Linked DNA regions of Schizosaccharomyces pombe. Changing the gene in region 1 together with any one later gene gives a genetic interaction. Each region holds a gene or a part of one and is shown in the gene's direction. Other genes may lie near its edges. The genes, in order: arg3, prp38, hbs1 and pof9.

Region 1 (7,773 bases):
CGTAACCACAGGACAGATTGAGATTCTGGAGAGCTTGAGTAGCAGCACCTTTAAGTAAATTGTCGATAGTAACTACAATGACTGCACGCTTTCCAGAAGAGTGCACACCAAAACCACCAACTGAAACATGATGCTTGTGTGCGTTGTCCTTGACCAAAGGTACATCTCCTTGAACATGAATTAAAGGCTCACCATTATAACGGTCTTGGTATAAGTTACGAAGCTCACGGGAAGTTATACTTTTCTTTAACGGAACATTAATAGTTAAAGTAATTCCTTGGAACCATTGAGCAACGTGAGGAATAAAGGCGACAGGTTGCTTTAAACGATAAGAAATTTCACGTTCATGGATGTGATCAGTTAATGAGTAAGGTATCAAATTGTTTGTCAATACATTCAAGTCATTCTTCGGAGAGGGCTTAGTGCCAGCCCCAGAATAACCAGATACACCAAAAATAGAGGGCTGGCCGTCAATCAAAGAGAGTATGGGAGTTAAACCGACTTGCGATCCAGTAGCGTAACAACCAGGATTGGAAATACGTTTCGAGTTACGCAAAGCTTCACGGTCATTTAGTTCAGGAAGACCGTACTGCCACGAGGGCTCAAAACGGTAGTCCGCACTTAAATCAACAATGACACTTTTACCATTTGCAGACGTTAAAGCATCGACATAAGGTTTGCATACACCGTTGGGTAGGGCCATGACCCAAGCATCAACCGCTCCCTCTTCCTCTAATTTTTTAACATCATCTGTGGACAAGTTGACATACTGAATTTCTTTCTTAGTGTAGCCAGGAAGTTTGGTGCCTTCCAACTCACGAGAAGAAACATGAGATAATTCGAGATAAGGATGAGTGTTAATCAATCCAATCAAGTTCTTTCCGGTATAACCACGGGCTCCAAGGAGAACGACTTTTGCTGGCTTCGATGAGACCGCCTTCAAAGGTTTTTGGGTCTTCTGAGCCTCAGCAGAAAAAAATCGTTTTCCACCCTTTAAAAACAAAGAACGATTCATTTTTTTGTTTTTTGAAAATAAAGAACTAGTTGAGTAACTTCGTTTTTGATTGATCTGTGAAGAGGAAGGGTTGTTGGTGGTAGATGAAGCAGTAGGGGGTTTAGTGGATTGGGTCTGAATGATAGCATCGGCAAATGGCTTGTCAGACTGAATGAACTTGGAGATTTTATTCAAATCTTTTACACCGTACCAAAAGTAGTAAAAATTATTAGCAAACAAAGTACCTTCGCTTTTAGAGAAGAACCATTCCAGATTCTTGGCTGAAGGTTGAAGACGCCATAGCAAAGAAGGGAAGTCTGCTTTTAATGTTGTTAATATGCTATCAACAACATTGTTTAACCAATTATTGTCGGCGGCACCAAAAGCTAAGAGTACTGGCAAGGATGAGTCGGTGGTGTCGACAATAGCAACAGATTCATTGAAAGAGTCACTATAAATACGAAGTTTTCTGTCTTTCAGAGTATCCTTGAACTGTTTCAAGCTTTCACTAGGTGCGGCTAAAGAATTTTTTTGAATGATCAAATTTTCTAGAGCAGCGTCTGGAATGCTATCCAACGAGTCATGTTTGTTGATGACAAAACCGCGACTAATCAAAGTACCAGCGCCAGATTCCGTAAAAAGCTCTTTTTGCAAATCCTTCGTACTAATAATGGCTACGGAAGATGTACGGGGAAGAGTATCAAGTAACTCTTTGATTTCTTTGATTTTGAGCTTCGTACCATACTTGACCCATGGTTGCTTCATGAGGCCATCGTACTCCCTATCCAAATAGATGCTGCTAATTTTTTTCTTTGTTTCACCGTTGATAAGTCCACCTTTTTCATTGAGATAGACCACCTTTAGAGGCTTCAATACGCGAGCAAGCTCACCAGCAGTAATGTCGGCGTTGACATTCAACAATTGACCAGAAGCAGTTTCGGCCATAGACGTAAGAATAGGGAGGGTTCCAGCACGAATACTGTGTTCAATAGGAGCTTTGTTTACCTTGACAATCTTGCCAACATACTTGTATTTTTCTTTGTCGAGATACTCTGCCTGAAATACACCACCTGTAATGGGACGAGCACGAGTTCCCAACTTTTCCAAAGCATCTACAAGTTTCGCATTTTCCTCTAAGAAAACTTTACGAGCTACAGAAAGAGTCTCGGCATCGGTGATTCGAATACCATCGCTATACTCGGGTTCAACATTTCTGCTGGCAAGAATTTTGTTTAATTGGGGACCAGCGCCATGCACAACGATGGGATAAAGACCCACATGATTCAAAAAGGCAAGACTTTGTGCCAATGTGTCTAATTCGTCGGTGATAATGGCACCACCAACCTTGATAATAGCGAAACGTTGAGCTTCGAAGGAAGTAAAGTATCGTAGGTATTGCTCAACTTCACGACGGCTTCCGATGGAGGAAAGAATTCTAATGATGGCATCACGATCTTGTTCAATTGGTTTCGCGAGTGGGTTTAACGGTTGTTGTTGACCCGGGGCAAAACTGCCTTGAAAACGTTTGCTTGCAATGACTGATGCATTGGAACATAGTAAGCTCCTTTTCGTACAGTGTTTCGCTCCATTCCGTACAAGACCGGACTTGACAATTTGTTGCAATTCAATAAGCATTGCCAAATTCTAGTGATATTCTATGATTTACTGTAGTTGGTAGAAGGCAGTTTGGTTGGTTTCAAAATTGGAAAATCATTTGCTTCGTAAACGTAGCTATAATTCGTTAAAATTTGATTGCTGTATCTAGGGATTTGCTCTGGAGATAATCACTCAAAAAGATGAGATCGATAATGTTACTTGTTGGCTGAAAATTACATCGGAAACCAACAGTTTACATGAAAGTGCTGCAAACGTGAGACATGGACATTTAATGAATTAAAGCTATATAAATGACACTGTAAAAGCAACTCATTTGCCGACAATGAATCTATTTGTATATACATTATTTAATACTAGTCCTAACTGACACAGTACAATATTCATTATTTCTATGCAAGCCAGTTCAATATCTTGATTTATACATGAAAGCATTCTTTTGAAACAATATTTTGTTTTCTATTTGATTTCGCGTTGAATAGTCCCAATGACCCTGATGAGACAAAAGCACTTATCATAAAATTTATTATCTAAGATAATCTCGTTAAAAAAAAAAAAAAAAAAAAAAAAAAAAAAAATTTGGCAAGAAGCCCTTCTCTTTCGTTAAAACTTGTTTCGCTTTATGCAATACTGTAAGTGTAAGCTTGTAATATAGCGAATCTGTGAACTCATTGTTCATTTCATGGTAGTTGTTGATTTCACAAGCATGCTGAGTTATCAATATAGTAACACAATTGGTTTTATTTCAGCTCGCTTGAATATAGTGTCAAGAGATAATTGAATAAACAAAAAAAATAACTACACGTTTTTTAGATACATTTTATTTACAATGTATTGGTTCTTTAAAGAATGGGTGGTAAATAAAAAAAATATTACAAGGTCGAAAAAAATTCATCCCTTTTCATTAGTTCTATAATTAAATGCTAAACCCATGAATATTCTTTTACTGCTAATCAATTAACGATTTTGGTATTTAAAAGCTATTGCTGATAAGTATTCTGACGTTCTGTATCAATATTACCATGAATAACATAAGAAAAAGAAAGGAAATAGAATGTTTATGAGTAGTTTTTAATTTTTGACTTGTTTTATCATATTTCATCAACGTACTAGCTTGTTTGCAACTGAACTCTAGTGTACGATAATGTAAAAATTTTCCATCTCGTCGAAAATCCGCATACGATATATTACGGCGCCAATCTCGCAGTCTGAGAGAGAACTAGATATCGGCTATATGCAATCTCACCCTGAATATCTAAGAAATTACCAGTAACTTGTGGGTTCCTTGTAGTCGACTACAAAAACCGTATTTTTGATATATTTAGTCGAGAAGAATTATTCAGTTTGCAATTGAAAATGTCTTTCAAAAAATTTCCTCGTCATTTACTATCCATTCGTGATCTTAGTCGCGGAGAGATTGTAAAGTTGATCGATCGGTCTTCTGAAATTAAACAAGCTTATAAGCAGAATTTTCAGAATCGCCGTTCTGTTCAAATGAGTGGTTTGTCGTCTCAGAATGTCGCCATGATCTTCAGTAAGCGTAGCACTCGTACTCGTGTATCAGTCGAAAGTGCTGTCAGTTGCCTTGGCGGCAATGCCATGTTTTTAGGTAAAGATGATATCCAATTAGGAGTGAATGAGTCTTTATACGATACTTCAAAAGTTATATCAAGTATGGTTTCTGGTATTGTTGCTCGCGTAAACAAATATTCAGATGTTGCTACGCTCGCTAAACATGCCTCTTGTCCTGTTATTAATGGTCTTTGTGACACGTTTCATCCTCTCCAGGCGTTAGCAGATTTACTCACTATTAAGGAAACTTTCAAAAGCTTTGACGGTTTAAAAGTTGCATGGGTAGGTGATGCCAATAACGTTTTACATGATTTGATGATTGCAAATGCCAAGGTTGGTATTCATACTAGCGTTGCTAAGCCCAAGGACGTCAACGTTCGCGACGATATTTTATCAATCGTTAACGAAGCTGCGAACGAAAACGGTTCTACTTTTGAAATTGTTAACGACCCCAAGGTTGCTGTTAAAAATGCTGATATCGTCGTTACCGACACTTGGATTTCTATGGGTCAAGAAGCTGAGAAGGAACAACGTCTTAAACAATTTACAGGATTCCAAGTCACCGGAGAGATCATGAAGCTTGCCAAACCTAGCTGCAAATTCATGCATTGTTTACCCCGTCATCCCGAGGAAGTGTCTGACGAGGTATTTTATGGAGAGAACAGTTTAGTTTTCCAAGAAGCAGAGAACCGCAAATGGACCACTGTTGCTGTCTTGGAGGCTTTGCTTGTCAACCGTGGTGAAATTCTTCCTCCTGCCTCAGCCTAAACTGAAATCCTTAATTTCATTTTTATCTGGGGAATGTGCAAACAATGCCAACTTTATAATTTTTTTTATTGGGCGTGCAAATTGTGATATTCATTTTTGAAATTTTATGTACTTTGTTTCACAAAAAGAAAATTGACTTTTGAGAAAATTTTTTAATTGACAATTACTTTTCAGATTTTTTATGCGCAGGACACAGGCTTCTAAAGACGTACTTATACGTTAAAAAAGGGGATGGATCAATTTGGCTCATTAGTCCAACAAGCTTTGTGTAAAATTATTACCCGCTTAATGCTATCCTCTTAACTAGATATTTCAAGGTATCAAGCAATCATAGTATTAAGCACTATTATATGCAAAATACAATTTAAAATTAATAGAAACTACAAATAAGCGCAACACTCATAAGGAAAAAGCTTTGGGACAATAAAGCTTTCGTCAATGCGGAATCTACGACAGAAAGAAAACTTAGTGTAGGCATCGAAATTTATTATATTTCAAGCATGTATGCTAGTAAAATAAAACGTAAACTCATTGATTCAAGAAATCTATAGAAAAAAAAGATCTGGGCAAGTAGAGTGTGCATCATCGAAATCCGGCTTCTTTCATAAACTTATCGTATTGCTCTTTAAGTGCTTTGCTTTTATCAATAAATGGCTTTTTCTTGTCTTCCGCCAATTCCTTCCACGCCTTTGATGCATTTTGGGTCTCTTCAACGAGTGTGGAAATGGCTTCTGGAATACCTAACTCTTGACGTAGCTTGGGATTGTTTCGAAGCTCCTTGTAAAAGAGGATAAAAGCAGAAGAAGGTTTTTTAGGAACATCTGGATGACGAAGTCTGTAATAGCGACTGCCCGTGCTGTGAGCCTCCTTCGAGCGACGACGATTTTCACTATCGATTTCTGTAGGTGTAAAGGATCGTAGAGTCTCCATAAAACGCTTTTTCTCAGCATCGAACTGCTCCTGGAGTTTGTTTTTATACTTTTGGATCTCATCGGCAGTCAAAGCTTTGTATTTTTGACGAATCATCTCAAAGCGCTCAGGACCATTACCAGCACCTTTTGTTTCAACCAACATTTGATTCCAAATGGTTTTCAGCCTAGGGGGGATCAACTTCTGTAATCCATTCTTTTCGGCAGAAACGAGAGTAGTGTGAAACTGGCGTATTCTAATTGCAAATACCATTTTGTGAAAAATGATCAAAGATAATGGTGCTTGGTAAGTTAGGTAAGGAGGCATTGCGTCAAACAGACGCATTCAAGTACTGAGTAAATATCGGGTACGTAATATTGTACAACAGACAAATGAGTAGTAAAAAGACGGTTTACTCAATTTTTAATAGCATAGAATAAAGGCGTTAAAAGCAGTTTGTTTGTTTCTTGTAACCACAAAGGTAGTTTCTTTTTCTAAGTGAAACACTTCGACATTCAACATAACAAAGCGTTGGTCCACAGAATCAAAAAGGTACTCCAAAATGAAAAGGAAACAAACGCATCTTCATCTCTTGAGCAACAAAACAGCACTCATTTCTATACTTTTTCCAACCTTCCTTATATACCGTACCTCCCAGCACTCTCATATTCATTACTCACCATAGACTATATTGTAGCTGTGTATTTAGTATAAAAATGTTTCAGTGGAATCGTTGCTATTCACTATTCATTACAGTGTATTCTTTCAGCACGTTATTTTAATTTAATAAACCGAAATAACATGCCCCGGTTCTTCTTTTGTCATATTGGCATCTTGGGTTACTGAAGAGATGGGGTATACGTTGCTTCAATCTCATTAGTTCTAGAGCCCCTCTATACCCCGATTTCTAAACGTCAATCCAACTTAGTTTTAAGGCTGTCGGCCTAATTTAAAGTTCCTTTCTACAGCTACAAAATTTGTATTAAAGGGACGAGAAGCCCCCGGGTATTTGTTTGTTTTTAATAACATCTAGTGTGTATTAACTTTTCTTGGCTGTGTTTAACCAAGTCGTAAGTGTCTGCATTTTTTCGGTATTTCTTGCCGCTTACCACAAACTATAGTACCTTTGAAAAGTTGGCTGTTTTCCAGTAAATTTGCATCGCTTTGTCCGAGAAAGGAGCCTTTTAGCGCCATTTTGACAAAGCTTGTTTAAAACATCTCGTTCGATTACCACCAACGTGTGATTTTGTGATTGTACCCAAACTTTGAAATCCTCACAAATAATTCGATAACTATGACTGTTACTCCCATTAATCCTACTAATCAGCCATACAAATATGTATTTGTAGTCATCGGCCCTGCCGGTTCAGGAAAAACGACGATGGCTAAGGCGGTATCTGAGAAATTGGGTTTTGAGTATATTGAGGGTGATGATCTACACCCCAAAGCAAACATTGAAAAAATGAGTCAAGGCCATCCTTTGAATGATAACGATCGTTGGGGTTGGTTGCATAACTGCGGAGGTGCTTGTGCCATGGAACTTGACAAGGAATCGATAAAGGGAGTTGTGTTAACCTGCTCGGCCTTAAAGCGTAGTTACCGTGATATCCTTCGTAGCTCTTTGGAGCATCGTCCTGCAATTTTGCGCTTTATTTATTTAGCCGCTTCGAGAGAAACACTTATTAAAAGAACGACTAGTCGCAAAAATCATTACATGAAGGCTGACATGGTTGAAAGTCAATTGGCAATCCTTGAGGCTCCTACCGCTGATGAAAAGGATGTTATTACCATTAGCGTTGAGAATGGAAAAGAACAGTCAGAAGAAGAATGTCTTGATATCGTCCACAAAATGGTTAATGAAAACAAGCAACCTTAATGAGTCTTCTGCTTCTAAAATATTTGCACGCTCAGCTCAC
Region 2 (6,898 bases), on another chromosome or scaffold:
AGCGAAACACAAGTGGTACTAGATAACCAAAAAATGATAAAGCATTCAATCAATCAAACCACTTACGAAATTCATACTCCCGTAAACGAATGCCGGTCGGACGCATGGAAAATCATCAATACGTGAGAGAGCTACTTAGTTGTGCACTTTGTATATGTCCAAAAATACTTTTCATTTCACATACCTGCTTGTGTAAAGACAGTGATGAAATGCGGTGCAAAGTGTCTATTCTTACATTGATGGTAAAGCTAATTCAAGCATGCTTGGAAGAAGAATTGCCTTGCATTTCTTGATCATTTGACCCAGGCGACAACTATAAAATAAGAATACTACCGAAGATGCAGATGGGGTGTGTGGGCACAACACCATCGAACCGAACCGAGACGGCCAGACTGTGATAACAAAAGAAATGCATTAGTTTAGTTGGCTGGTTCAAGTTGGTTGAGTAGAAAAATCCATCACTCAAACTGGGAAGTAGGGATGGCTGGGAGAATGGAGAAGCGAGACGAGACGAGACAAGACAAGAGGAGATGAAATGAAATTAATGAAAAGAAATGAATAGAAATGAAATAGACATATGAATAGTATAGGGCAGGTTAGATGTTTGTATTTATAAATGTTTAATGCTTAGGTTTGTATTTATGTTTACGTTGGTAATGTTTCTTTTGTTTGTGTTTGTGCATCGGGTGAACGAGTTGGTTACCGCCGCCGCCGCTTCCTTTTGCCTTGACACACACCACGCAACGTGTTACGGTTCTTGAACGGAATTGCGTACTTCGATGCAGAGCGCTATCGGGGGGATTGGGGATGGTAAATGGAAGAAATCAAAAACTTCTTTTGACGTCAACCCCTAAAACAGGGGACGGTGATTGGTGGTAACCACGGACCGGATAGGTATCGATATGCACATCAGGTGAGAAGTTTTTCCGAGGCCAACTCCGGCTCCATGGTATATAATAGAGGGTTGCGCGCTACTGTTGCAGTATCATACTTCCAAAGGTCGTATAGAACACACACACAAATTAGCAAAATGGGAATTCTCGATATTGTACCTACTGGTGTTATTACAGGTGACAACGTTTTAAAGTTGTTCACCTACGCTCGTGAGCACGGATTCGCCATCCCTGCCATTAACGTCACCTCCTCCTCCACTGCTATTGCTGCTCTTGAGGCTGCTCGTGAGGCTCGTTCCCCCATCATCTTGCAAACCTCCAACGGTGGTGCTCACTTCTTTGCTGGTAAGGAATCCTCCAACGAGGGCCAAAAGGCCTCCATTGCCGGTTCCATCGCCGCTGCCCACTACATCCGTTCCATCGCTCCTTTCTTCGGTGTCCCCGTCGTCATGCACTCTGACCACTGCGCCAAGAAGCTTCTCCCCTGGATGGACGGTATGTTCGAAGCCGATGAGGCCTACTTCAAGATTCACGGTGAGCCTCTTTTCTCTTCTCACATGCTTGACTTGTCCGAGGAGCCCAAGAAGGAGAACATTGCTCAAGTTAAGGAGTACTGCAAGCGTGCCGTTCCCATGAAGATCTGGATCGAGATGGAGATCGGTATCACTGGTGGTGAGGAAGACGGTGTCGACAACTCTCACGTCTCCCACACCGAGCTCTACACTCAACCCGAGGACATCTGGGATGTCTACCGTGAGCTCTCCTCCGTTACCCCTTACTTCTCCATTGCCGCCGCTTTCGGTAACGTCCACGGTGTCTACAAGCCCGGTAACGTCAAGCTCCAACCCGCTCTTTTGGGTCAACACCAAGCCTATGTTAAGGAGCAACTCAAGACCACCAACGACAAGCCCGTTTTCTTCGTCTTCCACGGTGGTTCCGGTTCCTCTGTCAACGAGTTCCGTACTGGTATCAAGTGCGGTGTCGTCAAGGTCAACATTGACACTGATACCCAATTCGCCTACGTCGAGGGTGTCCGTGACTATGTCTTGAAGTACAAGGACTACCTTATGACCCCCGTCGGTAACCCCGAGGGAGCTGACAAGCCCAACAAGAAGAAGTTCGACCCTCGTGTCTGGATCCATGAGGGTGAGAAGACCATGACCAAGCGTGTTCTTACCGCTCTTGAGGACTTCTACACTGTCAACACTCTCTAAATTTGTGGTTTTTGAAAGATGGAAATGATTGAATAGACGGTGGGCTTCATTAAAATTATATTTTTTTGTCCCCTTAATGAGAGTTCATACTGTTTTGAAATTACGTGTTTGAATATAGAGACATTGTTTTTTAAAATTACCATTGTAAAAGCATAAGAGATATTTGAAGTAAAGTAGGGCAAAGTAAGTTAAGAAATTTTTTTGGATTGGATTTGTAAAGTGTTTTTCAAGCATACTGTATATTGTTAAGATTTTTCTTTTTATCCTTTTATTCATCTTCCTTAATTGGTTAATGTGTTCTTAGGTATATAAATTTACAAAAAAAAAATTTCCGATTCCACATGACAATGAATGAATAAATAATATGTCCGTGCGTTTATTTGAATTTAATATATATCGTTTGGCAAATCTCGATGAGTAGCTTAAAACAACATAATCGCTTGAATTTCATGTGCTTTGTGTACACAGTGTGCATTGTTTAGTAGATCAACTTTTTCTTCTTTCATTGCAATGAGTACGGGCATTTTCCCTTTTCCTCCATATTTCACGAATCCATGTTTTTTTTAGATAACCCTTTCTCAATCAAAACTCAGCATGCTTCTTCAGACTTGACCACTTATATTGTCAGTACACTACTGCTCCTTAAAAGCTTACTCCAAGTCAAGACATCAAGGTTGGAGCAATCATTCTCTTCATGAGGTACTATGGCTGATTTTCTTGCTAGAGATTATCGCTCTCAAGGTGAGGCGGCGCATGAAATGCTGCCGACTTTCCTTATAGGAAAAATCTTGAGAGAACGCATAGTAGATTCTATTTACTGGAAAGAACAATGTTTTGGATTGAATGGTATGTGTTCTTCATTGACAGAAAAGGAAAGTGTTTTTACATATTAGAGTTCAAGTACGATTACTTTCCAAATCGATATTTTGAGTGATATAGCCTAAATGAACTTGATTTGGCAAGCAAAGAAACCAAGTATAGGTACTTGCTGTTTTAATCAGTCCTCAAACTGTTATTCCAAATTCACTGACTAATACATCTTAGCTTGTTCATTGGTGGATCGTGCAGTACGGCTTGAATATATAGGTGGTCAGTATGGAAATCAACGGCCCACCGAGTTTATCTGTTTGTTATACAAGCTTTTACAAATTGCACCTGAAAAAGAAATAATTCAACAGTACCTATCTATTCCTGAATTCAAGTATTTACGTGCCCTGGCTGCATTTTACGTTCGGCTTACATGGGATGATGTGGAAGTGCATCAAACGTTGGAACCGCTGTTAAGAGATTATCGGAAATTAAGAATTCGTACTAATTCTGAGATCCGATTAACATATCTGGATGAGGTTGTTGATGATTTGCTAAATGCCGAAGTAGTTTGCGATATTTCCCTGCCCCCATTGCGAAGTCGACTCCAACTTGAAGATTTGGACTTGCTTGAACCACTTTCATCTTCTTCAGACGAAGAAGATGATGATGAAGAACAAATTAGTAAATTGGAGAGCAATGAAGGTGCTGTAGATCGGAATATTTAAGGATAAGTAATATACAAAAAAAGAGTAAAGCGAAGCACGCATTTTGTGATGCGTCTACGATTTAACTTGGAATGACTCTACAAGGAAAAGTTATGGATTGAAATGGTTTTACACTTGAACTTATTAAAAAACAATTTATGAATAACAAACATCTAATCAAATAGATTTGTATATTAATATATATCGATTTCACATATTATCGCAAATACGCTATTTTTTCTTGTAAACAAATTTCGATAGACTTAGTTTACAGCACACTAAATATTTATAAAATGTCTTTGATACGCCACGGAATTTTTTTCACACCATACTTTAACGAATCACCCCATTCCGTCTATTTTCTTACGTTTCGTTAAAAACATGTCAGTCCACTTCTTTTTTGCTCACATATGAATTAACACGACTTTTCTCTTTCATCCATTACCATACTCGAGCAATCCTAACTTTGCTTATCGGGTGATCGATTTTAAATTTTTTTACTTATAGGACGTCCAGTAGCCTTTATAAGTTCATTGACAACAATTGGGTTGTTGCTGAGAGTTTGTTTACTGCGCTCGACTCTTGCTATAACCTAATCTTAAACGATTATCAAGCTGGATTTCCTTCTTGCTAAGAACATTATTTTATTTTACAACTCATTCAAGAAATTATTTTGCTATCTATCGCCTTGGATAGCTTTTAATGCGTCAAATTTTGGATAATTTGTAGCTCGATTAGAAAATTCGCTCAACATCCTATACAGTCACAGAGATAAAAAACCCTAAGAGTTAAATTCAATTTCTCTTTATTGTTGGATTTTTTAACTCGCTGTTAAATTCCGCTTGGTTCTAGCTGGAAATTTTGTTAAATATGCAAAGCTCAATTCCGTCAGTTTCCGTGTCGGTCGCTTCTCCTGCAATGGAAACTCCAACAAAAGCTTCGCCTGACAGCAAATCACCCAATTCAGTGGGTGCGATTCCTTCTTCATCCCCTTTGGCTTCATCGACAAAGGCTTCAACTTCTACTCCCTTTGTGGAGAATTGTTCCAATCTGTTGTGTGATTTGGCTAGCATTGTCGAGGACTCACCTCCAACCTTGACCAACACCTCGTTGTCTCCCCATTCGTTTTCCCTTTCTGATATGGAGTCATCAATGAGCAATTGGCTTAACCCTTTTGCGTTCGACAATACGATGAACTCGGCGCCTCCTCTGTTTACTTCGACCAACATGGGCTCCCCTAACTCGTTAGAAAACTCTACAAATCCTCTTCTCTCTAATTGCGGCTCTCCAAATTCATTTCAGAATGAGACCTTTACCGGCCCATCATTGAATGAGTTCGATGCCGATGATAAAATTCAGCGCCAAATGAAAATCCTTCACTCTGTTGATACAATCGATCCATCGACTGTTCAAAATTATCCTTCAGCTGATATGTCAAATCCAGAAGTCAAATTGAAAACCGAAGAAATTATTACACCCATGGACACCACTTGCAAGCCTGAACCTTCTGCCAAGAAAATAAAGTTGTCTCCTTCCTCGGAAGATTCTTGCTCAATTCCTGAAACATTACCTTTTTCGGCCCCCAAGTCTAGAGGCTCATTATCTCCTTCTGAAACCCCAGATTTTGTAGCCGGTCCTGGAGGAAAACCAAAGAAGACAGCTCATAACATGATTGAGAAGAGATACAGAACCAACTTGAACGACCGAATTTGTGAATTGCGTGATGCAGTTCCTTCACTTCGTGCTGCTGCTGCACTTCGTTGTGGTAATTCTCTGGACGATGAGGATTTGGGGGGTTTGACACCCGCTCGTAAGCTTAACAAGGGTACAATATTGGCAAAAGCAACTGAGTATATCAGACATTTGGAGGCCAAGAATAAGGAACTACAGAAGACTAACAAGCAGCTTTCAGATAGGCTGGCTTTCTACGAAGATCCTTCGATGGCTCCTCCTTCTAACGATACTCGAGCCGTTAACTCTGTTAATGTTGTTTCCTCATCTGACTATTCTGTTCACCAATCTTCTCGACCAAACCTAACCCAAAGAGCTTTTACTTCCCCAACCCTAAATACCATGGGCCGCACAGCACTAAATGGCATGGTTGGACTTGGTCTATTCAATTATTTTGGAAACGATTCTTCTCAATCTGTTTATGGTTTATTCGCTCTTCCACCTTTTCTTATGTCTCCATTCACAGGTACTGTTCTCTTTAACATGCTGAAAATTGGTGTTGTTTTACTCGGTTTATTCTATCTTTTGCACGATAACTCTCTTTTCAAAGGCTTCAAGGGTGAAAAGAAATCTAAAGTTAGTACCAGATCTTCCATGTCACCATCCTCAATCTTATTCCGAAAAACCGTATTCGAAAAGTATTGTTTATTGGACCATTCTACTTCGACTATTTCTCTATTTTTTGGATTACTGATCTTCACTCTTAAATCTGCTTATGGCTATTTGACTCATCGTTTGAGTGCTCTTTATACCTCCTCTGAGAATTGGGTTTATAGTGAGCAACAACTTGCTGAAGTTCGCAACATGGAAAAGCTTTTGGATGCCCAATTAATGGGTGGTGATGCTAAAGTTGACCGTTTGAGGCTCTTAATGGTATTTGCCAGTTCATTTTCTCTTCCTCCTTCAAGTCATACTTGTGCTTTACAAGCAATGTATTGCCAACTAATTTTTTCCAACACCTCTGTCCCATCCGCTATCGTTTCGAAGTGCGTTGCTTTCTTCTGGAATGCTGCAAAGAAACAACATAGCAAAAGTTCTGTACACGCGGAGTTACGTGAGCTTCCTGAGTGTACTGCTAACCTAATTGAAAACTCCCACGCTGACGACGTTTTCTCTCCGAATATGGTTGAGCGATTGTGGGTTCTAGCAAAGTGCACCCGTGACTCTGCTCAAATGTCAGATAGTATTATTAGCTCCTTATCTGATGTTTTGGTTTTATCTCCTCTAGAGGTGCTTGCCTCATGGTATGCCGCTGATTTGTTGGATGCCCTTTTGATGGAAAGTTTGAGCCGTAAAGTTGAGATATCCGAGATTGAGGAAATTATTTCCCTTTGTCCTAAGAACTCCTCTATTATTCGTCATGCTTTACTAGCTAAATTGGTTTTGTTCCCCGAGAATACAGCTGATTCTTTGAATGAAGTCCTTGCAGCATACAAGAACACTTTGGATTTATGCAGCCAAGATAAACGCAAGCAGTCAAGCGTGTTAAAGATCAACTTATCCAAGCTATTCACACTCCACTCATGCCTATCATTAGCACTCCAAC
Region 3 (8,270 bases), on another chromosome or scaffold:
TACAGGGGTGTTGGGGTCATCCAAAGCCTCAGTTAAACCCTTGATTCTGCCAAAGTCAGTATAAATACCAGCTGCCATAACCAAATAATCATAGCTAATTTCTTGACCACTTTGAGTAACTATTTTGTTTTCACGAGGATGTAAGGATTTAACAAATTCAGGATGGAGTTTAAATTTGTCAGCAGGAACCAGGCTAGCCAATTCTCGTCTGGTCTTAGCAACAGAACTCAATCCAGCACCAGTCAAAGTCCAACCAGGTTGGTAATAATGATACTTGGCACCATCCACAATACCAATTTCACCGGGTTTGAGGGATGTATCTTTGCCTTGGTCATTGGCAAAGCGGTATTTAGAAAACTTGTTGTAAATTTGATGGGCGACGGATATACCAGCGGATCCACCACCAACTACTAAAACCTTGTGATGGGTAGAGGCGAATCGAGCCAACATGGAAGCGGACTGAAATGAGCCGGTGACCGACTTGATTGTTGAGTTTAAGGTCAACATTTTTAGTTGCAAAAATGCAAAAGAGAAGTGTTTTTTTAAAGGTAAAGGAAAAAAAAAGGAGGCAAAAAGTAGCCTAATAAAACACAAGAAAACAGAGGTTGAGCGGAAAAAACGCGTTTAAAATTTCAAGAATTTAACACCTCAATAAGTAAATCAGGAGAAAAGGAATTTTTAAAAAAAAAATTTTTGATTACAATATCAAAGAATGTAGTCAAACAAGCACCACCTTTCAAGTGTACTAGAATAAGTGCTAGTCTGTTTTGACTCAAGCGAAGTAAAAGAAAAAAAAAAATTTTTTATTTCTTTTATATGCACTCTTCAATGTACTTTAATTGTTCAAGAAACAAGCACAATTTAGTCTACCGGCTGTCGTCTAAAAAGAATGGTGTAGTGTACAAAATAGAATTAACGGAAGACAAGCCTATGTAGAAAATATTTGCAAATACAGTCGACTAATCAGAATTAGCAGCATAAGGTGTTTATATTCAGTCGATAACTCACGTCAGCTCCGAAGGCGTAATCGGTTACGCAATTTTGTCAAGTGCTTGCGCTTTGCTTGTGATTCCGAAATATGTGGCATAACTTTATTCATTTTAGGGGCAAATCACGTGGATTTGCTAAGTTTCATTAAAGTTTGTAAAGCAAAAGCTATCGAGGCTTAAGGAACTCATAAAAGCTGCTTAATGCATGTTTCCGTAAATTAATAATAGTACTAGAAGTAAGAAAGTGAATGATTTTGTGGGTATGTGTATTTTTAATTTTGCAAAAATATTCGTTTATCCCTAAAGTAGTACAGTAGCCGAAAGAATCCTTTATAACGTCCATGCATTTGTGCACAAATACAACAAAATTAGAAGTTTGTCAAATTGCTGTTGGTCATTTTCAAATAGCAAATAGCAAGGCGCTGAAATGTTAAGGTTGCTATTTTCTGACATATAACGAAAATCGGCTGTACTAAAGAGTAACGTGGGTTGGCGATGGACATTCTTTGCTGAAGAAGCAAACATTGTTCATAAAAAGTAGACTGATATTCTATTATGCTATAAAATGAATCGGCTCTTTTGTGTAATTAATTAAATTTTCCATATTCGGTAATACTACTAAACATTAGTATACACAATACCAAAATCAATCAAATCATACATAGCATGGATCGTTTGTTTAACATTGAAAAATTCCTTTACGCAGTGCGGAATCTTCAGTTGTTAGATTGAATATAAAGTTTTAGAACATATGACTCTTTTAACCAGATTAAATTTAAGCTTGACATGAAAGTACCTTTATTAAAGTAGCCCCCTGTTAGCAAATACCATGATCATCCAAGAAGGTAAATTTTGAAGAACGCCGTTTTCATAACCATTATGTGTTGCTGTGCAAAGATGTAAACAAACTGATTTTTCGATACAATAATATACCTTTAAATAGAGAAAAGCTAAAAAAAAAAAAAAAAAAAGAAGTAGTTGATTTATAAATAACCCTTTTTCACTAAAAGCAACCTTTAAGTAGGACATGTCTAAAAACAACACAGGTATCTCCAACGAAATAATAAAACCCCAAAAGGTTTGTGCAAAAACCTTCGGCAATGAAATTTATAAGACGGGATGAATGTACAGAATAGAATTGCAACCATTTTCTAGACCACGTGATTTTTGGGAAATTTTGGTGATGCATTAGATGAAGAAAAATAGAACATGAATGAAAGTCTACTTATACAATTTGGAGTAAATGATTAATTGATGCTTTTAAATTTTGTTTGACTTTGATTCGAATCCAATAGCTCATTTCCACCAAGCAGGAATGCCCAGTCCATCACGAGAACAGGAAGCCTAAATATATAGTTAGTAAATTCTATCGATTTGAGAGAAGCAGAAAATATTTTCTTGTATACTAGCAAATAGATGGTGCACCCTTCATAAATAATGACACAAGTTTCGCCCTAAACATAAAAAAAAAAACTTACAATCAATGTATATGGGGATACCGATTCCAATGCTTCTGTGCCTGTAATCGCGGTTGCATTTTTATTCCTCTTAGGTGAAATATCAACAAAGTCCTCAGATTCTATTTGAAAGCGTATTTCTTCATCAATGTCAAAATACAATTCGGTTCCCTCTGAGCCGTCCTCCCCTTCAATTTTCCATACCCAGGCACGCTCATCCGGACGAAAGACACATGGATCGAAAAGCATATCTTTCGGAATGAAAATATCGTCAAAAAAGCTAATAGTTACTGGGAGAAAAACATTAACAACAAGCATTTAAACAAACACATTTAACATACCCCGAATACCTTCTTCACTGCACGATTTTATTTTTCCCAGCATTACTTCACCTCGAAAAGGACGAAAGATTATAAGGCGGAAAACCACTAATCTAATTAGAACCATTTAAGTTTTTCTTTTCCACTGAATCACTATCCTGACAGCCTTTCGTATTGATAATGCGAATTGGCATATGAAATAAAGTGAGCAGACTTATACTTACCATTCATGTATGAAGAGCCATCTCCGTATTTAATTATTCCTTCCCCAATTTTCAAAAAATCATAAACGCAAATAGCCAGTCCAATGTTTTGTATCACTTTGTTAGCATACTTTTTATGGATTTCTTCAGCCAGTGCTTCCTTTGTAGGCTTCCAAAAATTGGATGGATGGATGCTTATAATGTCTGAAAACCGACTCAAGAGAAACATAAATAATAAAACGGCTATTACTCGTAGTTTTTACCACCTTGTAGAAAAAATCTTTAACTTGAATAGAACGATAAATAATTAGAAATACAACAGTGGATCACAATCCAATTTAAAAATATTTCTTAACCTTTTGGTCAACAACTTTGCATAAATCAAAAGGAACCTTTCAAAAAAGTAATTTAACTGCAAGCCCAGCTTTCTTTGCCAGGTCGCGTAAAAATATGAATACGAAGATTATGTTGCATACCAGACCATTCATGGCGAGTTAACGATCTAATGAAAAGCGTGTTAAACGACTTAGCGAGGCCAGTGAAGTTTTAGCGCAGTAGCTTTAAGACAAATCCATGAAATATTGTTTACAATTGAAAAATTATAATGAGTAGAAGTTTCAATCGCTTATTCAAACATACAAATTTATTACAGAATTAATATAAATTTTAAATAGTTAAAAGGATGAATATAACAAGATTGTTGAGTGTTCTGTCGATATACATGCTCATGAGCAGTTAAGAAGTAAAAACAAATAATTAATGAAAGAATTCTTTGAAAATCGAACTACTAAATAATTTTTTAAAATTATTAGCTATTTTAGCTTTTTTTTCTATTTACAAATTCTAGCATATTTGTAAATAAACATTTTTTGTTAATATCTATGAGCAGTATTTAAAGATAAAAAAAAGGAAAATAATTAATTAAATATTGCTGCAAACATATCTAACGAGAGTATGGCATACTAAAATTTCCTGAAAATTTGACGATTCTGTTAACTTTAATATTGGCATAGTTTAGAAAACTTAAGTAAATCATTTTTTAGTCATTAAAAAGTTAAATATTTCATTTTGTTACATGAACGCCAAAATTTTTGAATTTAATGTTTAACAACTTTTGATACTTGACACTACAAACAGACTTATGTTTTCCCTACTCTTACTCATCCGAATTCAATAGTTCATAAAACATTTGAAGACAATGAGAGAAATTTACTATATAATGAATAGAATGGGTCCGGTCCGGCTTAATAAAAGGCATCCACCCTAAAACACTCAGTTGTTACAGTTGAGAATTTTTAACAACTCTTGTTGCAGCACTCAATTCAGTATAGCGACATTGCTAAAATTCGCTAAAGCTGCTGATGATGTATGAATATTTCCAAGAATTTACTCTAGAGCAAAGTGTCAAATGCCAACTTAAATATTATACATATATTTATTATTTATCAATAGAAACCATTTTTTTTAAAACAAGAAGTATTTATTGGTTTCTGACTTTTGGCAAAAATAACAAATTCAAAATATGTCGAGGCATCGTGATGTAAAAAATCTTGATCTTGATGGTTCGTACCATTTGATATTGTAATAGTTTGTATTTTTTTTTAACGTCTTTCTAGATTATGAACTCGACGAGGAGCCAGGAGAGGAAGAATTGACTGAAGAGCAGGAAGGTTAGTAAATGATTTCTTAAAAATATTAACGAACAATATCTAGAGGAATTCAGGTCTGCTGTAGCCACAGTAAGGGAGACATTATTAGGTGTTCCTATTTCAGAAAAAGAAATTGCCGATACAGTTTGGTACTATTACTTTGACGTAGAGAAATCAGTCAACTATCTTTTGCAAAAGGCTAGTTCCAAAGCTGGAGCTAAAGAAAAACAGAATACTGATTCCCAAAAAGAAAAAAAACAGAACAAATCGAAAGAAGCTTTAGCGGATGCCAAAGATCCATTGGATGAATCTTCTAATGGTATTAAAAATTTAAGCCTAAACAAAAATGATGAACCAGCATTTCAGACGAACGGTGAAGTAAAGATGAAAAATTCCTCCGAAAGCGATAACCAACCGGAGAAAAAGAAAATTAAAAAGCAAAACCCGACGGATCTAGTATCTGTTCCCGAAATATTTGAACAATCCAATCCTAAACCCGTGGTTCACTTAGTTGTTACAGGACATGTTGATTCGGGAAAGAGTACTATGCTTGGGAGAATAATGTTTGAGTTAGGAGAAATCAATAGTCGGTCAATGCAAAAGTTGCACAACGAGGCTGCCAATTCAGGAAAAGGTAGCTTTTCGTATGCTTGGTTGTTGGATACAACCGAGGAAGAACGAGCACGAGGTGTTACAATGGATGTTGCTTCCACCACTTTCGAGAGTGATAAAAAAATTTATGAAATTGGTGATGCGCCAGGTCACCGGGATTTCATTTCAGGGATGATAGCCGGCGCATCTTCAGCTGATTTTGCTGTGTTAGTTGTCGACTCCTCTCAAAACAATTTTGAGCGTGGTTTTTTGGAAAATGGACAAACAAGGGAGCACGCCTATCTGTTGCGAGCCCTTGGAATCTCGGAAATAGTTGTTAGTGTCAACAAATTGGACCTTATGTCTTGGTCGGAGGACCGTTTCCAAGAAATAAAAAACATAGTTTCTGATTTTTTGATCAAAATGGTTGGATTTAAAACCAGTAATGTACATTTTGTACCTATATCTGCGATTTCGGGAACTAACCTTATCCAAAAAGACTCATCTGATCTTTACAAATGGTATAAGGGTCCCACTCTTTTGAGCGCCTTAGATCAGCTGGTTCCCCCTGAAAAGCCATATCGGAAACCGTTGAGACTAAGTATCGATGATGTTTATCGTTCTCCACGTAGTGTTACAGTTACCGGGAGGGTCGAAGCAGGTAATGTTCAGGTCAATCAAGTTTTGTATGATGTTTCTTCTCAGGAAGACGCATATGTAAAAAATGTGATTCGTAATAGTGATCCTTCTTCGACTTGGGCTGTTGCTGGTGATACAGTTACATTACAGTTGGCTGACATTGAAGTTAATCAACTTCGTCCTGGGGATATACTATCAAACTATGAAAATCCTGTTCGTAGGGTAAGATCATTTGTTGCTGAAATCCAGACATTTGATATTCACGGTCCAATTTTATCAGGTTCTACCCTTGTCCTTCATTTAGGTAGGACTGTGACTTCGGTATCTTTAAAAATTGTTACAGTTAACAATAAACGTTCGAGGCATATAGCAAGCAGGAAGCGCGCATTAGTTCGTATAAGTTTTTTGGATGGATTATTTCCTTTATGTCTAGCAGAAGAATGCCCTGCTTTGGGAAGATTTATTCTAAGAAGAAGTGGTGATACGGTAGCTGCTGGCATTGTTAAAGAATTATGTTAAAGTCGATGAAATTATGCACTTCAAAACTATTAGACAGAATACTATTATTATTTCATTAAATAAATTATTAACTTAAAATTCATCATCACTCAATCCATTCACCGCGGTGTATTAATTTCCAAAAATGTGTATGTCGATTCATTAGTTCATCGAAACTGCCAGATTCCTTGACAATTCCAGAATCCATTACAATGATCCTGTCTGCCAATTTCATTAATGAGGGTTGGTGTGTAATTATCAAAACTGTACAACTCAAGTTTTGAATTGTTTTTTCTAGAAGAAGGCTTGACTTGCTATCTAAAGCAGACGTACATTCATCCAATATTAAAAGTCTGGGGTTCCGTAGAAGAGCTCTTGCAAACGCAAGGCGTTGGATCTGACCACCGGAAAAATTTTTGCTAAATTCAAGCAAAGGAGTATCTAAGCCGTTAGGAAGGTTTTGTATTACCTCAGTCATGTAAGTTTTGTCAAGTGCATCCATAACAGAATTAATATCTCTGTCAACACCATATAGCAAACTCTCCAAAATTGTAGAACCTAGAAGATGAGGTTTTTGATCTACAATGGCAACCTTTTTAAGCAACCAATTAGTATCGATGTTAGTTAGCGGATACCCATCAATGTAAATATCCTCTGAAGGGTAAGTCTTTCTCAATAGTTCTACCAAAGTAGATTTTCCAGATCCAGAAATTCCAACAATTGCAACCTTTTCTCTAGCTTCAATAGACAATGATACATTATTCAGCGCTAAGTGGTTACGCTCGGAGTCTGGGTATGCAAACGATACTCCATCGAATTCTATTTTTCCTACAAGAGGAAATTTTAGATATCCACTTTTATGAAGATTTCCTGGCTTCAATGAACTGAGTTTCAGAACTCTACTAGTCGCGATTCGGCTAGCTGATACATTGGGCAAAGACATGATGCAAGTAGAAGCCATCAACAATGTAAAAGTAGCCAAAGACAGCACCTGGACCATTTGTTCAACAGTATAAAATTCTTTGGATATAAATATGGAAGAACAATAAAAGAGAAGAGCTCTGACAAAATACAAAAGAGAGTTGTTAATAGCAAACCCAAGACTAGTCCAAAAGGCTCGCCTTTTGAAAGCTTCCCAGCTTTTGCGCAAAGAATTTTTATGATTTTCTCGAAAAAAAGATAGCACCGAATATCCTTTAATTGTATCCAAATTGACGATCGTTTTATGAAGGATAGAGGTAGTCGATATTACAACATCTTGACACATCCGCTCAGTGCTGACATATATATATGAAAACATTCTGGAAGTCAGACATAAAATTGGGCTTACTGCAACCAGTACAGCAGCCAATCTCCAGCCAGTTGCGAAAGACCATGCTATTCCAATAATCGCCATAGTAAATGCAATAAAAACCTCCTCAATGAGAGAACTAATCATGTTTCGCATATCACTGATATTGTTAACAAGTATTTTAGATAACACGAGTGGATAATTTTCGATTTGATCGAACCAAGCTTGATCCTGAGTGAAAAGTACTTTAACAGCTAATAACCGGTAGTGATCACACCAAATTTTAGCAGATATTGAAAAAATATAATGACTAAAAAAATAGGAAGCCCCCGATCCAGCAGCAACGACCAAAACCATTGAAGACCAAAATGCTACTCCAATCGATGGATCAATTTGCATAAACAAATTTAAGCACTTTGAAATAACGTAAGCAAATATAGGAACACTAGCACCTTGTATCAAAGACGTGAGCAAACCAAGAAGAAAAAACCACCTTAGCTTTTTGACTTTCCAAATACTCTTAAAGATTAATGTTAACGAACATGCATGCTCTTTGTCATCAAATAAATGGAAAGTTTGGTCTACATTCGTTTCTTGAAAGGATTCTTTTTCCATACGCAACTTCCTTTGCTC
Region 4 (7,569 bases), on another chromosome or scaffold:
TCTAGCAAATAAAAAATTTTTATTTCTTATTTTCTTTGTGAAGCCAAGGCATATTACACGTAAGACTTCCTAGTGGGACGAACGTAACTCACATTTTTAGGACGACAAAGGACAACCAGAAAATTGAGCCATATGCTGTCATGAAAAGGATGTACATCTTCAGTTTCTGTACTCTTTGCTCGTAAGTATTCATGAACATTCTGACCAACAGATATTAAATAGCACTGGTAACAGAAAAGGATGCCAGGAAGTATTGCTCCAAGTGCCCCATAAATGCCAAGGAAGAAAGATACGCCAGCCCATGGACGACGAAGATGCGCCGCAAAATTTGTATCTGTGGATTCATGAAAACTTCCTATAGAAGTATAGAACCCCAATCCAGTTAGATACAAAGCTGAAAGAACGACAGATAACAAAAAAATAAAATAATATCTGTAGTTTCGACGACCAATGCAAGTGTTTAACCAAATGCAGTGATGATCAAGGTATTCAACACAATTATCACATAAATGACAATGGCTTGCACGTGGAGGACGATATAAGTGGCACGTATGGCAATAAACTGTATTAACAAAGACAGAGTCAGACCGAGTGGATCCAACAAGGACTTTACGGTCTTCAGGAATTACAGACCAGGGATGGGCAGGGTTATAAGTTAAAGAATATGCATTTCTAGGAAGAATTCCTGGATCAGCAGTCGAGCACTTGAACATGGAAACAACGGCTAAGGCATACAGGTAAGCAAAGGTAATAGGGACAGCGGGAGAGACATGATGCCAGAGCCAAAAAGCAGAAAAGATGAAGAAAAGGACTCCTGGAAGAATCAAGGCAAACAAGCTAATGAGGAAAGCTTTGTACTGAGATGACATTTGCAATCGACCACAACATAAATAGATATTGTTTCCTGGTAAATTCTTATATCGGCTTTCAATATGCGGTACTTCCGGAACATCATCAGGAACGGATTGAAATCTATAAGGAATTTGGTTCTTTTCTTCCAAATTCATGGGATACGTTGGATCAGACAAAGTCACCTCAAATGGATTCCATGGCTGATTCCACGCGTAGCGGGATGCCTTAGCATCACTGTGTTTCTCATAGCTCATGATTATATTCTCTAAACAACAAACATGGCAAAGAAACAGCTATTTTTACACCTGGTATTATATCTTGTAGTTTTGTTGTCGGTAAGGATATGAACCCCTTTTGCGATGGAGGGTGAAGTAAATATTAGCATCCGCCAAAGTTTGTTTACTAAGCAAATAAAGAAATCAAAATAAATAAACAATTAGAGAATGTGACTCTAATAACTAATATTTGGAATGGCGCCTATTTAATCGATGAGAGTGTATTAAAAAGAGAAGGGAAATAAAAACAGAATATGAAATGAAATGCTAAAAAAAAAAATACTAACCGAAGAAATAAAATTAATAATAATAAATAAAGTACTTATTTTTTTTTTACGAATAAAATGTAAAAAAAATTATTTAAGAGTGCCAATATATTAGTATTTATATTTTTCAAACTTTTTATTTAAATATATTTCATCGATACTGTAATTGGAACATCCTGTCAGTACAACAATTCAGGGCTCAAAGTTAGAAAAATCAAGTTTAATAAATTATACTATCCGTGCAATTTCGGGTTTGTAAAGAAAGTGGATAATATATGGAAAAATTAGTAATATATGACTCGATAAAGACTCCAAAGACTAAGATAAAAGACCAATATCATGGGAAGTAGACTAGCTAGTAAACCATTTTCATCTTGTGTATTATGTTTTTTTTTTTTTTTTTTTTTTTTAAAATGGCTAAATAACTAGCAGGAAAATAATGGGAGGGTGTAATTGAGAAAATATTAGAAATGAAGGTACGGAAGCAACGAAAAAAGATCTTAAAAGTTTATTAGAGTGTTGCAACTATTGAAATTATGATTATCGCGAAGCTATTAATGAAAGGGCTAATTTAAAGGATCATCTCTATACTTTCACTAGCCCCGAAATAACCCAATAACCTCTATGGCTTGTAAACAAATAACTCAAGAAACACGGTATATGGTCAGTTATGGATGAAATTTTGAAGAAAAATTATTACTAATCTACATCTAAGAAAAACCATCCTGGCTTCATTCACTGTATTTAGTGGAAATGTAGTTCACAAGATTATCGAATTAGATTGTTATTCCTCAATATGCATGACTCCAAGCGGTCCTTTGGTTTTATTTCCTGTTTTAAAGGGAAATGAATTAAATTCTTATTCCTTAGAAAATCTCAATGACGCTTTTAAACGTACTTGTACATTGGACCTACTTTACTGGAGAAACATTTGCGGTCAGCAACTACTATTAAGTTACTAACCTCATGGCAGCTAAATTTTGAAAAATGACTATATTTATTTATAATGGTACGAACCATTTTTATTTGTTTGCGAAGTTTTTTAGTGTTCTCTTCTTATTATTTACAAATATAATCTTAGGAAAAGTTTAGTAAATAAGTGTCCTAACAAATTCTATAGTATAATACAAGGGTAGAGGTAGTATCTGAAAAGTATTATAAAACTGTATAAAGCAATATAAATACAAGGGCGGTTCGATCCCGATTGCAAACGCTGGAAAATCTAGAAATATTGGAAAGTTGCTTCTTTCACCACTTTAGTAGAAGGAGTTGGTGATTATTATGATATTATTATCCATTCAAATTTGAATCTCTTAATGCGCACCGTTGCTACGTCTTGTCTGCGTCAGGTGGCGATCCCCATAAATATTGATGCTTGTCATAAATGTTGCGAATGTTCGCCTACGTATTTCATTTTGACATTTACAATCATAAAAGGATTTTAGATCCTTTCCATCTCGAAACAATTAATCAAACTATTCAAGCGAACAAGAACTTTTTATTTTTGGAACCATCATGTCAATTATGCGCTCAATTATGTCGAACCGCCTGGTTCGCTGGTCAAGAGAATATCCAGAACTATTTGTAAGCTCAATTTTTTTTTGAAAAATATATTGAGTTGATTATTTCGTAAGCTGATCAGTTTGCTGTTAGATAACTTGGTGTGTCATGACTTATACCTTTGGAGTTGCTGGTTATATGCTTGGTATGTTAAAAATTAGTAGAAAATTAGAAATCAGCGCAGTTAATGAAACATTATACTCAATTTTAATATTCTGTTAAAATTTTCCTACAGAATATTTATTTTACAAGCGCATTTACATATGATTGTTTAAATTAAATGATTGTAGCTAACAGTTTTTTAGGACAGCGGGGCTTGTTGGTACAACATGAAGATCAAGTCCGAATTCCTTCAAAAAATGCTCACCCCTGGGAAGACACCAAAAGCAGTAGCGGAAAAAGTGATGAGAGTCTTGATTATAGCTACAAGTATTATCCTCGAGGAGATAGGAGTAAAGAACCTCGAAAGGCACCTTCTGCTATTCAATACAGCACTTTTCCCGTTAAAGGTGTATCAGAAGAGGTACTTGAGCGATTCTCTAAGTAAAGCACATTAAATTGTGTATAACCTTTTAGGAATGAAAGAGAACAATTATTACATTGCCAAATATTTTTTTAGTGCTTTTTCACTTTACAAATATCTCACTCTCTACTTTATGGTAGGCTCTCATTTTTGGAATATTTGCCCTGATATATTGCAATATTTCCAAACATCTTCTTAGTTATGATTTCTTGCTTTATTGCTTTAATGTATAAAAAAAATATTTGCTTATTAACCTGTGTTTGAAAACGGAGTTTAGGCACCACTTTACCAACTTCACAATTTATACAGCATTTTGAAGATAATGATAAATTTGTAAACAATAACAAAAAATAAGCTTGTTTGAGATTTTCAAATAACTTAAATTGACCTAGTACTTGTTGTCGTTTAACGTTAAGCTTAATCAATAGCCGAGTAATTAGTAAATGGGACTTGCCGAAAACAACGCTTTTCAACTTAGAAAATTTAGCAAACCCACTCATACCTTTTAATAAGCATGGTCAACGCAGCCATAGTTGTTTCCTCAAATCGTCCAAATGTGCTTGAACAGATTTCCTCCTTGTTTAGAGATGGGAAGACTCGTTCTCTGGGGGAACAGTGGACTTTAGTATCAGGCCAACTTAAAGGAACGTTTGAAGATGCTAAAGACGCTTGTAACCGCATTTCTGCTACTGAGAATGTAGACTGTAATTGCTTGAGTGAAGCAACATTTTCCACTAAAAAGAAGCTTGTAGTATTTGACATGGACTCGACGTTGATTCAACAAGAGTGTATTGACGAGCTCGCGGCAGAAGCAGGCATCCAGAAAGAGGTTGCTACGATTACATCTCTTGCAATGAATGGGGAAATTGACTTTCAAGAATCACTTCGTCGTCGCGTTTCTCTACTACAAGGGTTGAGCGTCGATGTCATAAATAAAGTCATTGGCAAAATTACTTTCACTCCAGGAGCTAAACAGCTTTGTCATTGCCTTAAGCAAATGGGTGCGACTCTTGTTGTCGCTAGTGGTGGATTTGTTCCAATGGCTGAATATGTCAAGGGACAACTGGACTTGGACTATGCATATGCCAATGTACTTGAATTTTCCGATGATGGTAAATTCCTCACTGGAAAAGTTCAAGGTGCAATTGTAGATGGACAACGAAAAGCTTCCATTTTGCGTGAAAAGAGGGAAGAGTTGGGTTTAAATAAGCTCGAAACGATGGCTGTTGGGGACGGAGCTAACGATTTGGTCATGATGGCCGAATCCGGTTTAGGAATTGCGTTCAAAGCTAAACCCAAAGTTCAATTATTGGTATGTTCGAAATTTTTTTACAAATTTATGTTTTTAATGATCTTACTAACTCGATTTTTTTTTTTAATTAGGCTGATTCGAAAATCAATCTTCCATCTTTGCAAAACGCTCTTTACCTCTTGGGTATTGATGAGCAACAACAAAAAAAGCTATTGGAAAACAAAAATTAATTTAGAATTTCCAAGAATTTTTCAATCGCAAGGCGCTGTCAAGAACTCTGAGCTACTGTGGCTTGGTTTTTATAAAGCAATATTTTACTTGTGCGCGTGGTCTTTTTTTCTGTAGTAGGAGCCGTCTTTTATATACCCTACTTCTTTATTTTTGATACTCTTATTTTTCTTTTTCCTTAATTTACAATTTTGGTATGATCAATGCTTCATTGGAAAGGGTGTGCAATGAATGCTTAAAAAAAAAGGGGCAGTTCAGAAGCTTTCTTCTTTAAAACAGACAAGAATTACTCAATTGGTTTTTATAAAGCCGATCATTTACTCTTAAATCTGCTTCGTTATGCTGATAGACTTTGAAATTGATTCGTGCAATGACTACACCTTCGTTTCATAGACCTTTCTTTATTATCATTTATTAATTGTAAATAATACAATTGTATCTAGTTATTAAGAGTTGCAGAAAACATGTGCTTTTGACGTATTTCAACACCGTTTCCCTTGTATATATTCAGAGGTATTCATATACTACTACCCATGCGAGATTCATTATGGCTAAATCACCATTCCTGGAGCTTTCTTACGATATATTGCTAGAAATTAGTACATATCTTGATTATAAAGATATAGTTCATTTGTCAGAAACATGCAAGTCACTTTCGTATGTTTTTGACGACAAAACAATTTGGCATCGATTTTGTGCACGGGTCCAAGGTCTCACCAATGTAGTCCCAGTTGTTGATGATAATTACAAAAGACCCTATGCTGTATGGAAAGACCGAGGATACGCTTACTCATGGGGGCAACAGATAAGAAACTATTTGGGCCGCGTCGTCAATACAAATCAGTATCCTCGAGATCGTCCTGGTGCATTGACTGGGAAGGACGTTCGTTCTACTATTCAGGTTCAAGTTGGGTAAGCGCATAGATACAGGAATTTATTTGACTGCACTACAATGACTAACTATTCCCTATGCGGAATTTAGAGGTTATGGGATGTATTTATTAAATGAAAACGGAAATTTATATGTTACGGGGGTACCAAACAATGTTGGGCCCGAATTGATGAGAGATTTAGAGCCAATTGTGAAAATCCATGCTGGTCGAGAGTTTTGTCTTGCACTCGGTGAGACGGGACACTTGTATCAAGTATCTCTAAAAACACGAATTTGCTTGACAGATGAACAAAATATGCTATCAGCCTATCGCGGAAGAATTGCTAATTTTAAATCAGGTTGGGACTCGCATTCGGCGTATGTGCCGGGCATTGGCTTTCTTGTCTGGCACACTGGACGAGAAAGTGAAGCGCAACTTTTCCAGCCAGAGGCATCGATGAAGGAATTCGTGCTGAACGATTATGTTCACTGCGCAGGATTCCTAGTGTATACTGTCGCATCACCTCAGAAAAAAGGCGCCGTGTTTCGTTTAGACCTGGACCAAGCTACACAACACACGCTAGGAAGAGAATTGAAGAGGTTCGCTTCGCACGACCCCCATCAAGGTTGGCATTTAGCAGGCAGCTTTGAAACTTTCACATGTTTATCGGACGATGGCAATACTGTTTACATGGGTCATGCTAATACCAAGCAGGTCGATGATGACCCGGTTATCCACGACTTTCTCCAGAACCGAGGAATTAAGCAATTGGCGCATGGCGATCATCATCATCTTTACTTAACAAGCGATCATTCCATATGGTCGTGGGGTGTTGAATTACGTTATTGTGGGTGTTTAGGTTTGGGTTCTCTTCATTTGCAAGAACAGACATCTGATCCCAGCATTGTTTCTGATCCACGCACCGCACGCAACATCGTTTCCATTCCACATCAAATTCACTTTTCAGGAACTTGCTATTCAGTTGCAGCCGGCGGATGGCAAAGTGCTGCTCTCGCCATTTCGGAATCTGTTTTACCCGAAGTCAATGTGCCTCCAATTACAACTTTTTCTATCATCCGACCATCCAGAGTTCCAGCGTTGCGCTTTTTAGCTGCCCCTGCGACTCGGACTTTGGAAAGGGACGGCTAGGTGAAATAGTGATCAACTTTGCTTGGTAAGCTAATTTCCGCGTGCGCACTAGAGAAGGATTTTATTTTGTCCGCTAAGTAAGTGAAATAAATAAATATCTCGGCCACCTCGGACTTCCGAATTTATCTCTATTTTTACTAATTCCTCTAGGTAAGCCAATTATAAAAAAAAGCAGCACAAGGAAAACACAACGGTGATTAAATAAGTGAGAAAATTTTTTTTCCTTCTTCCTGTATCGCAATTACATAAAGTACACACATTGACCAATTTATATTCCTGACCCCTGTGAATTAAGTTACTGTGCTACTACGACGAGTTTTTACCAAACATTATTATTTTTTTTAATTGATTTGGACTGTAAGGAAGGTTACCGATTTTCATATTAAATCCTCGGTGGTCAAAATTTGTTGGGCTCTTGCTCTCTATTTGTCGTTTGCGTTGGTGGTTTGTAATATTCCTAACCACCCCATTTTTTTCTGGCGACCCTAACTTGGGGGTTTTGTTTACAGATCCAGGTGTCGAGAAAACCGGTATTTTCAGGCAGAAATCGATCTTAAGAGACGATTTTTTCTTGTTGGGTTGACTACCTTGT

What was found.
Region 2: mutations in arg3 (region 1) and prp38 together harm fitness more than expected from each alone (negative genetic interaction), as found in Schizosaccharomyces pombe (one large-scale study listed by BioGRID).
Region 3: mutations in arg3 (region 1) and hbs1 together harm fitness more than expected from each alone (negative genetic interaction), as found in Schizosaccharomyces pombe (one large-scale study listed by BioGRID).
Region 4: mutations in arg3 (region 1) and pof9 together harm fitness more than expected from each alone (negative genetic interaction), as found in Schizosaccharomyces pombe (one large-scale study listed by BioGRID).

Annotation. Positions count from the first base shown.
Region 1 is NC_003424.3:2,270,048-2,277,820, forward strand, and holds arg3 (ornithine carbamoyltransferase Arg3), read left to right. Parts: upstream 1-3,873; 5' UTR 3,874-3,964; coding exon 3,965-4,948; 3' UTR 4,949-5,469; downstream 5,470-7,773. Other genes in the region: arg11 (N-acetyl-gamma-glutamyl-phosphate reductase/acetylglutamate kinase), read right to left, coding at 1-2,629; cmb1 (cytosine-mismatch-binding protein 1), read right to left, coding at 5,531-6,130; idn1 (gluconokinase), read left to right, coding at 7,152-7,733. UniProt on the Schizosaccharomyces pombe protein: Ornithine carbamoyltransferase involved in the synthesis of arginine from glutamate via ornithine and the urea cycle.
Region 2 is NC_003423.3:1,687,337-1,694,234, forward strand, and holds prp38 (U4/U5/U6 small nuclear ribonucleoprotein complex subunit PRP38), read left to right. Parts: upstream 1-2,801; 5' UTR 2,802-2,811; coding exon 2,812-2,953; exon of another isoform or gene 2,954-3,151; coding exon 3,152-3,642; 3' UTR 3,643-3,887; downstream 3,888-6,898. Other genes in the region: fructose-bisphosphate aldolase Fba1, read left to right, coding at 1,031-2,107; transcription factor Sre1, read left to right, coding at 4,492-6,898. UniProt on the Schizosaccharomyces pombe protein: Required for pre-mRNA splicing and maintenance of stable U6 small nuclear RNA levels. Implicated in the formation of stable and biologically active snRNP structures.
Region 3 is NC_003423.3:2,589,973-2,598,242, forward strand, and holds hbs1 (translation release factor complex GTPase subunit), read left to right. Parts: upstream 1-4,372; 5' UTR 4,373-4,491; coding exon 4,492-4,531; exon of another isoform or gene 4,532-4,585; coding exon 4,586-4,639; exon of another isoform or gene 4,640-4,682; coding exon 4,683-6,367; 3' UTR 6,368-6,452; downstream 6,453-8,270. Other genes in the region: hmt2 (sulfide-quinone oxidoreductase), read right to left, coding at 1-507; DNA-directed RNA polymerase III complex subunit Rpc25, read right to left, coding at 2,286-2,333, 2,468-2,736, 2,788-2,874, 2,991-3,198; M-factor transmembrane transporter Mam1, read right to left, coding at 6,453-8,270.
Region 4 is NC_003423.3:1,866,344-1,873,912, forward strand, and holds pof9 (F-box protein Pof9), read left to right. Parts: upstream 1-5,489; 5' UTR 5,490-5,503; coding exon 5,504-5,868; exon of another isoform or gene 5,869-5,938; coding exon 5,939-6,977; downstream 6,978-7,569. Other genes in the region: palmitoyltransferase Erf2, read right to left, coding at 54-1,106; SPOM_SPBC3H7.08C (uncharacterized protein), read left to right, coding at 2,909-2,977, 3,047-3,098, 3,259-3,500; phosphoserine phosphatase Ser2, read left to right, coding at 3,991-4,788, 4,860-4,958.